Linked DNA regions of Anolis sagrei. Each later gene encodes a partner of the first gene's protein in a complex. Links are inferred from orthologs where the notes say so. Each region holds a gene or a part of one and is shown in the gene's direction. Other genes may lie near its edges.

Region 1 (3,752 bases):
CTTCCTGGTCATGTGCTCCCTGTTCAAATGGTTCCTGTTCATGTGGTCCCTGGTCAAGTGGTCTCTGGTGAAGGGGTCCCTGGTCAATGCAGTCCCTGGTAAAGGGGTCCCTGGTCAAAGAGGTCCCTGTTCAAGTGCTCCCTGGTCAAAGTGGTTGGTCAAAGTGGTCCCTGGTGAAGAGGTCCCTGGTCAATGCATCTCTGGTCAAAGAGGTCCCTGGTCAAGTGGTCTCTGGTCAAAGCGGTCCTTGGTCAAAGCGGTCATTGGTCAAAGCAGTCCCTGGTCAATGCGGTCCCTGGTCAAAGAGGTCGTTGGTCAAAGCGGTCCCTGGTCAATGCAGCCCCTGTTCATGAGGTCCGTGGTCAAAGCGGTCCCTGGCCAAAGCAGTCCCTGGTCAATGTTGTCCCTGCTTAAAAAAGGTTGGGAACTACTGCAGTAAATAAATAATTCAGCTGAAATGCACAAGCCTATTGGAATCTACCTGTACATGGCAGCCGGTAGGCTGATGGGAATTGTGGGAGTGGAAGTCCAAAACACCTGGAAGGGCCCAAGTTTGCCCAGGCCTGGTACAGATCCTTCCTGATCCTGAACTTCCTATCCCTCTTGATGCATGTATGTATATAAGGCCTGGGCAAACTTGGGCCCTCCAGGTGTTTTGGACTTCAACTCCCACAATTCCTAGCAGCCTACCGGCTGCTAGGAATTGTGGGAGTTGAAGTCCAAAACACCTAGGGGCCCAAGTTTGCCCAGGCCTGATGTGTGTATATATACACACACCCCTTTGTTTAGTATTTAACAACATGTCCAATGCATCTAGGTATGAATATAAAAATAAATAACCCAGACTGAAGTGAAGTGGGCCTGCTGCTCCCTCTCCCCAGTTGGCTCTTTCTCCTCCTCCTCCTCCTGTGATATGACTAAGCCTCCTCCGCAGAGGAGCGCTGCTCTGCCGCTGCGGGCGATGGGCGGAGAGGGAGGCTCCGCGTCCGCCGGCGGGACAGGTCTGAGCAGAGCCCTGCGGCGCCCTTCCTGGGCGGGAGGAGAGGGAGCCTCCCTCCGGGAGTAGCGGAGAAGAGAGGAGAGCCAGGAGAAGCGCGGAGGAGGCTGGAGTCCATGTCGGGCCCGCGCAGCGCCTTGCAGGCCTGGTGCCGCCGCCAGTGCGAGGGCTACCCCGGCGTCGAGGTCCGGGACCTCAGCAGCTCCTTCAGAGACGGTCTCGCCTTCTGCGCCATCCTCCACCGGCACCGGCCCGACTTGCTGTGAGTTCACCCGTTCCGCCACTAGGCCCCAACAGAAGCCCCGGGCTCGCTTAGATGGAACGGCCGGCGCTGGGGGCAACCTCTTCGGCAAGCAGTTGCTCCTCTGAGAGGGCTGAGGGAGAAGGAAGGGGACCCTATTCGTGAGGCAAAGGGGGAAAGGTGCAGCCCTACATAGGTGTCTTAGACTCCAGGTCCCAGAATCCTCCATCGTTGGACGGAGCAGCCGAGGCTTCTGGGAGTTGAAGTCCTTTGGAGTTTGGGACACACTCCCAAGAGGACTTAAGAAGAGAGAAACGAGATATTCCTATTTATTAAGCAGCCCTAAAGTGTGATATTGTGTTGAAGCGTTGATCCTTCAGGTGTTTTGGACTTCAGCTCCCAGAATCCCTAATATTTCTGCCAGGACCCAAGGTGTATCCAGACATGGACAAACTTCAGCCCTCCAGGTGTTTTGGACTACAACTCCCACAATTCCTAACAGCCAGTAGTCCAAAACACCTGAAGTGTATCTATGCCTGGGCAAACTTGGACCTGCCAGGTGTTTTGGACTTCAACTCCCAGAATTCTTAACAGCCAGTAGTCCAAAACACCTGGAGGGTATCTAGGGTGTATCCAGGCATAGGCAAACTTCAGTTCTCCCAAGTGTTCTGGACTTTAACTCCCACAATTCCTAACAGCCAGTAGTTCAAAACACCTGGAGTATATCCAAGGTGTATCTAGGCCTGGGAAAACTTGGGTCCTCCAAGTGTTTTGGACTTTAACTCCCACAATTCCCAATAACCGGTAGTCCAGAACACCTCAAGTGTATTCAGGCCTGGGCAAACTTCGGCCCGCCAAGTGTTTTGGATTTCAACTCCCACAATTCCTAACAGTCGGTAGACCAAAACACCTGAAGTGTATCTAGGGTGTATTCTGGTCTGGGCAAACTTGGGCCCTCCAGGTGTTTTGGACTTCCACCCCTACAATTCCTAATAACCGGTAGTCCAAAACACCTCAAGTGTATCCGGGCCTGGGCAAACTTGGACCCTCCAGGTATTTTGGACTTCAACTCCCATAATTCCTAACAGCCAGTAGTCCAAAACACCAGGAGTATATTCAGGGTGTATCCTATCTAGGCATGGGCAAACTTGGGTCCTCCAAGTGTTTTGGACTTCAGCTCCCATAATCCCGAACAGCCAGTAGTCCAAAACACCTGGAGGGTATCTAGGGTGTATCAAGGCCTGGGCAAACTTGGGCCATCCAGGTATTTTGGACTTCAACTCCCACAATTCCTAATAGCCGGTAGTCCAGAACACCTGGAGTATATCCAGGGTGTATCCAGGCCTGGGCAAACTTGGGTCCTCCAAGTGTTTTGGACTTTAACTCCCACAATTCCTAATAACCGGTAGTCCACAACACCTCAAGTGTATCCAGGGTTGGGCAAACTTCAGCCCGCCAAGTGTTTTGGATTTCAACTCCCACAATTCCTAACAGTCGGTAGACCAAAACACCTGAAGTGTATCCAGGGTGTATCCTGGCCTGGGCAAACTTGGGCCCTCCAGGTGTTTTGGACTTCAACCCCTACAATTCCTAACAGCCTGCTCTATGCTGTAGAATTAATGCAGTTCGGCATCACTTTAACTGCCATGGCTGAATGCAGTAGCACATTTTGCCAGACAAGACTTTGTAAATCTACCACCCACAGGATTCCATAGCTTTGAGCCATAGCGTGTAAAGTGACATCAAACTGCATTCATTCCACAGTGTAGAGATGTAGCCCTAGCCACACCTTTCTACTCCACAGCCATTAATTAGCAATAAGGAGGACTCTAGATTCCTTAAAAGATTGCAGCAAAATGTGGAGGGACACTGAAAGAGGTTTTGTATGATAAGCCAGTTTCTATTTCACAGTTCTCCCACAGTGTAATTAGAGGTTCTGCAAATAGAACTGATTTAAGAAAGGACAATGTTTTGCCTCCAGTCCAAACCTTTTCTTTTCTTGGAAATTGTGGAGAGTTTCAGTAATAGGTGTTGTTGTTTTTGTTGTTGTTGTGTGCTTTAATATCCTTTCCAATTTACATTGACCCTAAAGCAGATCTCCTACAGGGCTTTCTTGGAAACATTGGCTCAGGCCCCTTCTATACTGCCATATAAAATTCAGATGATCTGCTTTGAACTGGATTATAAAGCAGTGTAGACTCATTTAATCCAGTTCAAAGCAGATAATGTGGACCATCTGTTTTGATGATCTGGATTATATGGCAGTGTAGAAGGGGCCTCAGAGAGGGCTTGGCCTTGTCTTCCTCTTAGGTTGAGAGAGTGTGACTTGCTTATGGTCACTGAATGGGTTTCCATGACTGAGCAGGGATTCGAACCCTGATTCCAATCCTAGTCCAAAACTCAAACCACTGCACGATGCTGGCTCTCAGACCACTTACTAATCCCCCTGTTTTGGTTATATTGTAAAAATCAAAGTTCATCCCTAACTTTATATTTTGATGGATATATATTTGA
Region 2 (3,752 bases), on another chromosome or scaffold:
CGGATGGGGAGAACAAGGGATTTCCTGGGTCCTGATAAAAGATGTGTATAGGCAAAAAGGGTGGCTATGGGTGGTGTCTGGATCTCAACCCTGTAGGCAAAGGAAATCCTTTGACACAAGGGAGCATACACAAGCACCATGATTGATTTAATCAGTCTGTTTTTCCGGGCTTTTGGCTGACAAAATCTCTGGCCCTTGTTTGTCTGACTCTGAAAAACAAAGCCATAGATTTGCCAGCATTTGTCCATGCATTGTCAGTATGGATGGAGTTTCTTCCAAGGAAATTGGATTTCCTTAACTGTAATCCCCAGGTCACATATTCTTTTATAGGGTAAAGTTCAAGAGGGGGAAGGCAAGGAGAGGGGTGAGGGTACATCTTATTTCATTTCACCTCATTACATATCATATACTTCATATATATATTCTTCACAGTCTTTCATAACTCATAGATTTCATAGGAAAGATCCCCATCCCAGCGAAGTTTATTAGAAAACCCACAGCAATTAATAAAGGCAATCAGCAGAGTTCCTGAGGTATGATCCTTTGCAACAAGGGCATGCACCCACAGGCGGGGGCCATACTTCAGAAGCGGCTTGGCTTTTGGAGTTCAGGGAGGAAGTCCGTGATGCTAGGGCATTAAGTCAATCAGTGAGGGCAGAAAGGTTCGCAAAGAGTCCGCAAATGGTGGAGAGTGGGGCAATGTCCTTTGGAGAACTACATTTCCCTGATCAGGGGCCAGGGTCCAGTGCACAAGCCAGAGAATTCACAGAGAGGAAACAGGAACCCAGTTATGTGCGCTGGGTCAGGAAGCAGCAGAATCCATTTTCCGGCCCTTGGCGAACTTCAAATACTTGGGGGGGGGGGGGGGGAGATGCTCTGCATCAGTAGTAGTAGTAGTAATTATTATTATTATTATTATTATTAATTATGATTATTATTATTAGTTGTAGTAGTAATTCTGGGAGTTGGAAGTCCAAAACACCTCTTAGTTGTAGTAGTAGTAGTAATTATTATTATTAATTATTATTATTAATTATGATGATGATGATGATTAGTAGTAGTAATTCTGGGAGTTGGAAGTCCAAAACACCTCTTAGTTGTAGTAGTAGTAGTAATTATTATTATTAATTATTATTATTATTATTATTAGTAGTAGTAATTCTGGGAGTTGGAAGTCCAAAACACCTCTTAGTTGTAGTAGTAGTAGTAATTATTATTATTAATTATTATTATTATTATTAGTAGTAGTAGTAATTCTGGGAGTTGGAAGTCCAAAACACCTCTTAGTTGTAGTAGTAGTAGTAATTATTATTATTATTATTTATTATTATTAATTATGATGATTATTATTAGTAGTAGTAATTCTGGGAGTTGGAAGTCCAAAACACCTCTTAGTTGTAGTAGTAGTAGTAATTATTATTATTAATTATTATTATGATTATTAATTATGATGATGATTATTAGTTGTAGTAGTCATTCTGGGAGTTGGAAGTCCAAAACACCTCTCATGCGAAGAAGGGAAGGAAATTCTCAAGGTTCTAGAACCCCGGTTCTAGAACCCGGCCCTGTTCACAAAGAAGCCGGGTTCCGGCTCAACCGCTGATGCTGAAAGAACACATGAAGGAGCCGAAATGGACGAAGGGACCTCAGGTGACCCTCCGAATTTGTGTGTTTCAGTAGGAATTCAATGGGGTGAACTACCGATTCCAATAATACTCATTCTATTCCAATAATAAGCCGGAAATGAAAGGGGAAGCCTCTACCTTTGTGTATTTACATGTTATTGTTATTCCACTGTCTCCAAGGCATTGAAAGTTTGCCTTTCTGTGTATATTCTTGGATTATCAAGTGTCTAGATGTCATCGGGGTTTGTGAAAATATTAGAAAAAGCCAGTCAAGGCTTGAATACAGCGGAATAGCGATGATATGACAAATACACAAAGGTAAAGGCTTCCCCTTTCATTTCCGGCGTGCTGAAGGCAGTGCTCAACTCTGGCCAGGAGGAGGCGCTCGCGTTCCATTTCCAAGCCAAGGAGCCTGTTGTCTGTAGACACCTCTTGGCCCAGGCCTCCCTTAGAAGTTACTTTTTTCAGACCTCCAGCCCTTGGAAGTTACTTTTTAGGACCCCCCCCATTCCTTTGGAAGTTACTTTTTTCAGACCTCCAGCCCTTGGAAGTTACTTTTTAGGACCCCCCCCATTCCCTTGGAAGTTACTTTTTTGTACCCCCATTCCCTTGGAAGTTACTTTTTAGGACCACCCATTCCCTTGGAAGTTACTTTTTAGGATCCCCCCATTCCCTTGGGAATTACTTTTTAGGACCCCCCATTCTCTTGGAAGTTACTTTTTAGGACCCCCCCATTCCCTTGGAAGTTACTTTTTAGGACCACCCCCATTCCCTTGGAAGTTACTTTTTAGGACCCCCCATTCCCTTGGAAGTTACTTTTTAGGACCCCCCCCCATTCCCTTGGAAGTTACATTTTAGGACCCCCATTCCATTGGAAGTTACTTTTTAGGACCCCCCATTCCATTGGAACTTACTTTTTAGGACCCCCCCCATTCCATTGGAAGTTACTTTTTAGGACCCCCCCATTCCCTTGGAAGTTACTTTTTAGGACCCCCCCATTCCCTTGGAAGTTACTTTTTAGGACCCCCATTCCATTGGAAGTTACTTTTTAGGATCCCCCCATTCCCTTGGAAGTTACTTTTTAGGACCCCCCCATTCCCTTGGAAGTTACTTTTTAGGACCCCCCATTCCATTGGAACTTACTTTTTAGGACCCCCCCATTCCATTGGAAGTTACTTTTTAGGACCCCCCCCCCATTCCCTTGGAAGTTACATTTTAGGATCCCCCCTTTCCATGGAAGTTCATTTTTTTTAGACCTCCAGCCCTTTGAAGTTACTTTTCAGGACTCCCATCCCATGAAAGTTATTTTTAGGGCCCCGTCCCCCCATCCCATGAAAGTTACTTCCTTTAGACCTCCGGCCCATGGAAGTTACTTTTTTTAGACATCCAGCCCTTGGAAGTTACTTTTTAGGACTCCTATTCCATGGAAGTTACTTTTTAGGATCCCCCCATTCCATGAAAGTTCCTTTTTTTTAGACCTCCAGCCCTTGGAAGTTACTTTTTAGGACTCCTATCCCATGGAAGTTGCTTTTTAGGACCTCCTTCCATCCCATGAAAGTTACTTTTTTAGACCTCCATCCCTTGGAAGTTACTTTTCAGGACTCCCATCCCATGAAAGTTACTTTGCTTAGACCTCCAGCACTTGGAAATTACTTTTTAGGACTCCCATCCCATAAAAGTTACTTTTTTACACCTCCATCCCTTGGAAGTTGCTTTTTAGGACCTCCCATCTAATGAAAATTACTTTTTAAAGATCTCCAGCCCTTGGAAGTTACTTTTTAGGAACCCCTTCTCTTGGAAACTCCTTTTTTCAGACCCTCCAGTCCTTGGATATTAATTTTTAGGACTCCTATCCAATGGAAGTTACTTTTTAGGACCCCCTTCCATCCCTCGAAAGTTACTTTTTTCGATCTCCAGCCCTTGGAAGTTACTTTTTAGGTCTCCTGTCCCATGGAAGTTACTTTTTATGACCACCCATCCATTAAAGTTACTTTGTTTAGACCTCCATCCCTTGGAAGTTACTTTTTAGGACTCCTATCCCATAAAAGTTACTTTTTTTAGGACCCCCATCCCATAAAAATTACTTTTTAAGACCTCCAGCCCTTGGAAGTTACTTTTTAGGACTCC

The links. Proteins that work in one complex are often made in the same cells at the same time.
Region 2: the proteins of MICALL1 (region 1) and EHD1 are in contact, whole or in part, in an NMR structure (PDB 2KSP), measured with the Homo sapiens proteins. The link is inferred for Anolis sagrei from reciprocal best matches to the Homo sapiens genes MICALL1 and EHD1. Residues at the interface, in NP_203744.1 of Homo sapiens: Lys422, Tyr424, Asn425, Pro426, Phe427, Glu428, Glu429; in NP_001269373.1 of Homo sapiens: Gly464, Ala467, Lys468, Met471, Asn478, Leu481, Gly482, Trp485, Lys486, Lys492, Asp493, Gly494.

Annotation. Positions count from the first base shown.
Region 1 is NC_090025.1:164,612,331-164,616,082, reverse strand, and holds the start of MICALL1 (MICAL-like protein 1), read left to right. Parts: upstream 1-903; 5' UTR 904-1,113; coding exon 1,114-1,259; intron 1,260-3,752. UniProt on the Homo sapiens protein: Lipid-binding protein with higher affinity for phosphatidic acid, a lipid enriched in recycling endosome membranes. On endosome membranes, acts as a downstream effector of Rab proteins recruiting cytosolic proteins to regulate membrane tubulation.
Region 2 is NC_090032.1:20,366,917-20,370,668, forward strand, and holds the start of EHD1 (EH domain-containing protein 1), read left to right. Parts: upstream 1-1,445; 5' UTR 1,446-1,631; coding exon 1,632-1,650; intron 1,651-3,752. UniProt on the Homo sapiens protein: ATP- and membrane-binding protein that controls membrane reorganization/tubulation upon ATP hydrolysis. In vitro causes vesiculation of endocytic membranes. Acts in early endocytic membrane fusion and membrane trafficking of recycling endosomes.